2 linked regions of the Macaca fascicularis genome follow. The protein of the gene in region 2 purifies or fractionates together with the protein of the main gene of each other region. This does not show direct contact. Links are inferred from orthologs where the notes say so. Each region holds a gene or a part of one and is shown on either strand. Other genes may lie near its edges.

Region 1 (4,133 bases), on a different chromosome or scaffold from region 2:
GTTCGAGTACAGCCTGGCCAACATGGTGAAACTAAAATACAAAAATTAGCTGGGTGTGGTGGCGGGCGCCTGTAATCCCAGCTACTCAGGAGGCTGAGGCACTAGAATCGCTTGAACCCAGGAGGCAGAGGTTGCAGTGAGCCAAGATCGTGCCATTCACTGCACTCCAGCCTGATCGACAAGAGCGAAAACTCAGTCTCAAAAAAAAAAAAAGAGAGTCTCCAGCAAACAGTAAACACCATTCTCACCTATTCTGAATATTTTTGCAAAAGGTATTTTAGATTGTTGCTGAAAAATAGCTTGGTTTTAAACTATATTTTAGTCTCCATTCCATGAAGAGGCTCTTTAATCCCAAAAGTTAAAACATTACTCTAAAACCCTCCAAAGTAAAGTTAACCATTTGACAGAACAATGTCTTTCTATCTCGTCATCTTTTATCCGCGTTACTGCAATTTGCACTCACCAATATTCCACACCAACAAAGGCCGCAATTTCTCTGATATTAAGATTTACTGCCAAACTCAACAGGTTAAAATTACTTATCAAAGTGTGGCTAAGTGATTAAGATTTCTTTTAATACAATTGATTTGAGTAAATTTTAACATAGTTGGTGCTGCTCAAACTGCCTTTGCCATTACCTATACAAATTTAGTCCCGACTGAAATGTGCCAAATATGACCATTCACGAAAGGAAAGAGTAATTAACACTTTTAAAAGAACCACAAAGGATTTTACATAGTATAATTCAACAATTTCATGTCACATCTGCTGCAGAGATCACAAACATTGTCACTATGCCATCTCCTTCCTCGAACCCCCACACCGCCTCCTGCAGCTTTATTCTTGGCTTTTCAAAGGTTTAATCCACTCGGGGCTGCTAAAGGAGGAATCAAGGAAGCATAATTTGTGAACCCAAGCTGAGAAAAGGGCAGGAATATGGGGTTGAGTCACGTCGTTCCGCCATTTTCTAAGCGGAGGAGGAAGACATGTTGGAACAAAAACACAACAAAAGAGCAGCCATTTCCCAAGCCAGCTCCAATAGCAACTCGAACTGACACCGCCGGGTCGCTTCAGCACCTTCAAATCCACTTCACTGGACAAACCTAAGAACATCAGACGTGCCGCCGTAAAAAAGGCAGCAGCCAACCCTTCCGCGTAGGGATCAAAGATGACCCGCACGCATAACTGCAAACGAAAGCCTCGGGAAGAGAATGACGGAAGCGAAATGGAGCAGTGTAATACAATGAAATAAGTTGGCAAATTGAAATTTACTCAGTGATTGCGATGACTTACAGGAAGGCACCAGCTACAAGGAACCCAGGTAACCAAAACAAGACCCGGATTCAGCTGGTCTCATTACCTGCCTCTACCCACTTCCCCATTCCGTGCTTCCCTCAGCGGATCGCCTACATGCACGGGGTTCTTACCGTATGTGGGGGATGCCAACCCCACCTTGAAGAATCTTATAGAGCTTGCTCTCGTACAGCAACTGGGGATGCCTGGCCTTCTGAGATTCTAGCTTCACTGCCACTTCCTGCAGGGGAAAGAGGGGATGATGGCATCAACATCCCTACGGATTCAGTGTCATTTAGGAAAGGAGAGAGACATTAGCAAAACTCCAAGTCGCGACTACAAGGAAGAAGTGAAAAGCTGGAAAGAGAAAGCTCTCTGTAATTATAAAACGAGGCAACCAGCCTCAAAGGCCTCTTCAGGGGGTAGTGACGAAATCGTACGTCCTCTAAAGTGCAGGAAAATGATTCATCCAGAAAAAAGAGGCAACCTCTGAACGTAGTGAGAGGTTTTTAAGGAACTAGGCGATCGGAAACTGTTCTAATTGGAACAAGAGGCCCAGCAGGATTAAAAATTAAATAAAAGAAAAGAAAAGCAAAGCATGGGAATCACAGAAAGAGGATTTTGCCGTTTCCACCTTAAAAGTCGGTTAAAAAAAAAACAGCTCGACCAAGGGACATTTATGGGAAGTGTTTAACAAGCTGGGAAACTAGTTCCCCCACCCTTTTCTATCGGGTTCTTGACCCTTTTAGGGAGAGAGCGGGCGAGGATCGCAAGCCAGGAAAACTAGCTCCCTGGACTCCCTGGCGAGTGCGTGCGGTGAGGAGAGGCCCGAGCACTTTGGGGGTGCGCGGTGGTGGTGGGGGGAATGAGGAAAAGCGCAGCGTTATCGTGAACCCCACCCCAGGTGATTACCTCGCCGTTGGTGATGTTGATCGCCAGATAGATGTCCCCGAAGGAGCCAGACCCGATCTTCCGTACCAGTTTATATTTCCCTCCGACAATGAATTCGGCCTTAGAGCCGCTGCTACTCGCCATCCTGAGAGACGAAGATGGAGTCTGGGGCCAAGCCCCGACACCTCTGGGAAGACGACGGAGGCCTCTGGGGCTCCTACACTGGGCAAGGCTACGGAGGAAGGCGGCAGGAAACAGAACACGGAGGCCTTTACCGGCGTTCGGGGCCCAGAATCAGCCGAGGGGAACCTGATCACCGCCGCTCAGTCAGGTTTCTTTTTGCCAGGCCGCAGTTTGTGAAGGGCTTCTCGCGGTTACCAGGCTGGGCCACTTGTTTCTCGGCGGCCGCCGCTGCCTCGCTTGCGCGGCGACGTCGCGGGCTGGAAAAGGGGCGCGGTGAGCTAGGGCGGCGATACAGCTACCACCACTGCCGCCGGCTCCGGCCCTGAGGGACCCCTGTCACTCCGCCGACGCCGCCATCTTGTTACTCCAGCTCCAGCCAACACAAAATGCCCCCAGTCCCCGGGAGCCGCTTCTTCACGGCGCAGAGCACTCTGGGAAAGGGATCTGGGGCGCTCGCTCCGAAGGATCGGCAGCTAGAGGGCGGAACCGGATCCGTGAGAGTCGCGGCCCACGCTCCGAGCGTCACCCTGTCACCGCCCAGTAGCGCATGAGCGCTGCAACTCCTGCTGACTGCGCAGGCGTGCCGCGGCCTGCCTCACCCCGCCCCGGGCTTTCTTCCACTTCCGGTCGGCGGCGGCTCAGCCGGTGTTACCTGTTACTCGCCTCGGACCCGCAGGGTCTCTGGAAGGCTGAGTGGCCCCAGGCCTCGATGTTGGGAGGAGTCACCTTCATGTTTCGTGTCAGGCCTCCTTAGGAGTTGGGTATTGACCTTTGCTCTTTGAGGCGGTTTTTAACCTTTGATCTTTCTTCTGGCCGCTCCCCAGGACCGGCCTATTCCAACCCAGTTTCTGTTTGGAAAGAGGCTATCGCCTCTGGTGGAGAGGAAGAGAAAAGCAGCCCGCGTTGAGGAATCGTTCAGGGCTCTCGGTTATAGCAAAACCTAGCTAATTACCCTTCATAATTAGAATTTTCTTCTCTACTACGGAGTGTTATAGACCCTCTTTCCACAGGAGGGGAAAAAAGAAAGAAGCCGGAATCCCCCTGCCGTCCTACGTCTTTGCATTATTGCCTCACTACCACTTTTGATCTTCAGAAGAAAACCCAGTATCTTGTTCATAGTGAAGATTAGGGATAGATGGAATCAACAGAAAATTAATTTAACAAGAGTGAAAAAACTGTTATGCCCCCCAACCCCACCAAAACAACAACAAAGAATCGTATGTTGGTCATGTTGAAAACCGCAGTATTAACCTGAACAGAGTAGAGGTAACTATTACAAAATTTAATTGACAACATTTAAAGCTACACGGAAATTTTTTTCTTTTTTACTAAAAATCGATCAGAGAATCAAATCTTGACCACGTTTTGTATTACAAAATTTGACCTGGGAAAATTGGGTTGAGTAATAGTAATGTTCACAAAAGAAAGCTCCATGGTTTATGCTATCATCTTAAGTCAGACCTCAGTCGTAAACATTTAAGCTAAGCCTATCTTAAATAAAATTTAATTAAAATAGAAATGAGGGCTGGGCGCAGTGGCTCACGCCTGTAATCCCACCACTTTGGGAGGCCGGGGCGGGCAGATGACTTGAGGTCAGTTGTTCGAGACCAGCCTGGCCAACATGGCGAAACCCCGTATCTACTAAAAATACAAAAATTAGCTGGGTGTGATGACGTACACTTGTAACCCCAGCTACTCGGAAGCGGAGGTTGCGGTGAGACTAGATCACGCTACTGCACTCCAGCCTGGGCAACAGAGAGACCCTC
Region 2 (3,500 bases):
ACAAACAAAAAAACTGGCCAGGCACGGTAATCCCAGCACGTTGGGAGGCCGAGGCGGGTGGATCACCTGAGGTCAGGAGTTCAGGACCAGCCTGCCCAACATGGTGAAACCCTGTTTCTACAAAAATACCAAGTTTACTGGGCATGATGTTGGGCGCCTGTAATCCCAGCTACTCGGGAGGCTTAGGCAGGAGAATCGTTTGAACCGGGGAGGTGGAGGGTGCAGTGAGTTGAGACCGGCCTATTGTACTCCAGCCTGAGCAACAGGAGCAAAACTCCATCTCAAGAAACAAAAAAGGCTGAGCGCAGTGGCTCACGCATGTAATCCCAGCACTTTGGGAGGCCGAATCACAAGGTCAAGAGATGGAGACATCCTAGCCAACATGGTGAAACCCCATCTCTACTAAAAATACAAAAATTAGCCGGGCGTGGTAGTGCACGTGCTGTAGTCCCAGCTACTTGAGAGGCTAAAGCAGGAGAATCGCCTGAACCCAGGAAGCGGAGGTTGCAGTGAGCCGAGGTTGTGCCACTGCACTACAGCCTGAGCAACACAGTGCAACTCTGTCTCAAAAAAAAAAAAAATCCTTTCATGGTGACTTTTTTCTTTTTTTGAGACGGAGTTTTGCTCTTGTTGCCCAGGCTGGAGTGCGGTGGCGTGATTTCGGCTCACTGCAATCTCCGCCTCCCGGGTTCAAGCGATTCTACTGCCTCAGCCTCCCTAGTAGCTGTGATTACTGGCAACCGCCACCACACATGGCTAACTTTTTGTATTTTTTTTTAGTAGAGATGGGGTTTTGCATCCATTAACATTTGCATCCATTTAACAGCTTTACTGGGATATAAATTATATACTAATCCTAGGGGCCGAGGCTGCAGTGAACTGTGTAATTGCACCATTGCACTTCAGCCAGGGTGACAGAGAGACTCTGTCTCAAAAAATAACAAAAAAAAGTCTTAATGAATAAAAATTATAAATATGTTTCAAAGTAGAACGTATTAATACTTATCCTAAAATATGGGACATGCAGTATTTAGTATATACAGCTATATAAAAAAAGGATTCGGATGGGCGCAGTGGTTCATGCCTGTAATCCCAGCACTCTGGGAGGCCGAGGCGGGTGGATCACCAGAGGTCGGGAGTTCGAGATCAGCCTAACATGGTCACCCCCTCCGCTGTCTCTACTAAAAATACAAAAATCAGCCGGGCGTGGTGGCACACACCTGTAATCCCAGCTACTCAGGAGGCTGAGGCAAGAGAATCGCTGGAACCCGGGAGGGGGAGGCTGCAGTTAGCCAAGACTGCACCACTGCACTCCAGCCCAGGGGGCAGAGCTAGACTCTGTCTCAAAAAAACAAAAACAACAACAACAAAAAAAAACGCCAGGCGCGGTGTCTCACGCCTGTAATCCCAGCACTTTGGGAGGCCAAAGCAGGCGGATCATGAGGTCAGGAGATCGAGACCATCCTGGCTAACACGGTGAAACCCCGTCTCTACTAAAAATACAAAAAATTAGCTGGGCGTGTGGTGGGCACCTGTAATCCCAGCTACTCGGGAGGCTGAAGCAGAAGAATGGCGTGAACCCAGGAGGCAGAGCTTGCAGTGAGCTGAGATTGCACCACTGCACTCCAGCCTGGGCGACAGAGCGAGACTCCGTCTCAAAAAAAAAAAGATTCGAAGGCCAGGAGTGGTGACTCTCATGCCTGTAATCCCAGCATTTTGGGAGGCCAAGGTGGGAGGATCGCTTGAGACCCACCTGGGCAACACACTGAGACCCCTATCTCTACAAAAAATGAGCCAGGCATGGTGCTGTGCACCTCCGTTCCCTCAGGAGTCCCAGAAAAACGACGAGCCCGTCCCCATCCCAGTCAGCACCGATGGGGACCCCAAGGCCTCGTGGGACGGGCTTCCAACACAGGCAGAAGCACCGCGCCCCAGGCGCTCAGCTGCCTCAAAAGTTCTCACCAAGTAATGTGGAGGGAGGTGCACCCTGGCTAGGGTCTGGGTGTGGGGGGGCAGATGAGGATCTAAGACCGAGAAAGCTGGGGCCACCTACCCACCAGGGCTGACACTTCCCAGCTGACCTGCCTCTGACCACGACGGGAAAATGGGGGGCACCACCTCTGTGGGGCCCCTGGCCCTCCTGCTGGGTTCTGGGCACAAGTGCAGGCCAAGGAGGCGAGCAGGGGCAACACCAAGACCAGCCCGGCGGGCAGCGGCAGGGGCTGGACCTGTGGTGCCAGGGCCTTGCTCCACACCTATACGAGGCCTCTGCCCTGCTGGGAGGAGAGTAGTGCTCAGGCTACACAAGAGCCTTTCCCAGCCCTCAGCAGGATGGCCAGGTGTGAGCACAGAAGGCTTCTCCATGGGTGCCCTGGGAGTGATGGCCAGCGGTGGCCTTCCCAGGTGACTTAGGTCATTCTCATGTGGGGGTCAGACTGGAAATGACCTCCCGAGAGCATCTGTGCTACCTGTGGGGTGACAGCCACGTTGGCTTCCCTCCCGCTCAGGGCTTCAGGGACAGTCTCTCTCTGGGGACACGAGATTTTCCTCCTGGAGACGTTAGGCCTCTCTCCCAGGCCCAGGGAGCCTGCTGGAGGATGCCCAGGAGAGTGCCCCAGTGAGAGGGGAAGTGTGAGGCATCAGAGGCGACACTCGCCGCACACACTGAAGCCGCACACACTGAAACTGTGCGGAGGCCAGAAGCGGCAAAGCAGGCCCCACGAGGCTGGCTGTGTGTGGGGGGTGCTCACCCGTGGCCGGTCCTGCGGTGCCTGCTGATCTCCTTCTCCCCCTCAATGATCCACTGCATGATCTTCTGGTTCTTCTCTGCATCCTCCGAGGCACCTGGCATCTCAGCGCTGGCGCTCTTCCCTGACTCGGCCTTCTTGGCATTTCTTTTGCACGCCATGCCCGCCTTCCCACTGCAAAGGCAACAGCAAGAGTGGCGAGTCGCCCTGGCCTCCCGTGGCTGAGGCTGTGCCCCCACCCGGCCTCTGTAAGGCTCCCGCGGCACAGCAGCTGCCTGCTGGCTGTCCTGGTGCTGCCCAGGGTGTTTCCTCTTTAAACACACAGGCGGTCACTGCTCATCCCTGAAGACTGAGGGTCAGTGGGAGCCAGGGTCGGGCTGTGGCCCCTGATCTTCATCTCCCACCTGAGGTCACGGCGTGGACTCCCCTGACCCGGGGCCCAGCCCACTCCCTCCAGCAGAGAGGGCTCCTGCCTGTTGCTGGTGGTCCTGGATTTCCTGAGTTTTACAGGGAGGTTCTGGCCTTCAACAGGGACACAGCCTCACCCCGAGCCCCCTCCTCACTGACAGGCACCTGCTCACCTGTGGGCCAGGCCATCGCTAGCGTTGGGGGCAGCGCCCACACTCTCTGAGTAGCCTCGGGACTTTGCCCCATGGCTGTGTGGTTCCGGACCCCACGCGAAGCTGCTCTGGGCCCTGCGGGCAGCCTCGGCCTCCACCTGCTCCTTGGGTCGGGCTGTGCTGTGGTGGACGT

The links. The genes of interacting proteins can lie anywhere in the genome.
Region 1: the proteins of AXIN1 (region 2) and CSNK1A1 purify together in Homo sapiens (co-immunoprecipitation; 4 studies listed by BioGRID and IntAct, with this or other methods). This does not show direct contact. The link is inferred for Macaca fascicularis from reciprocal best matches to the Homo sapiens genes AXIN1 and CSNK1A1.

Annotation. Positions count from the first base shown.
Region 1 is NC_088380.1:156,431,317-156,435,449, forward strand, and holds the start of CSNK1A1 (casein kinase I), read right to left. Parts: upstream 2,801-4,133; 5' UTR 2,329-2,800; coding exon 2,206-2,328; intron 1,535-2,205; coding exon 1,428-1,534; intron 1-1,427.
Region 2 is NC_088394.1:1,047,697-1,051,196, forward strand, and holds part of AXIN1 (axin-1), read right to left. Parts: coding exon 3,329-3,500; intron 2,922-3,328; coding exon 2,751-2,921; intron 1-2,750. UniProt on the Homo sapiens protein: Component of the beta-catenin destruction complex required for regulating CTNNB1 levels through phosphorylation and ubiquitination, and modulating Wnt-signaling.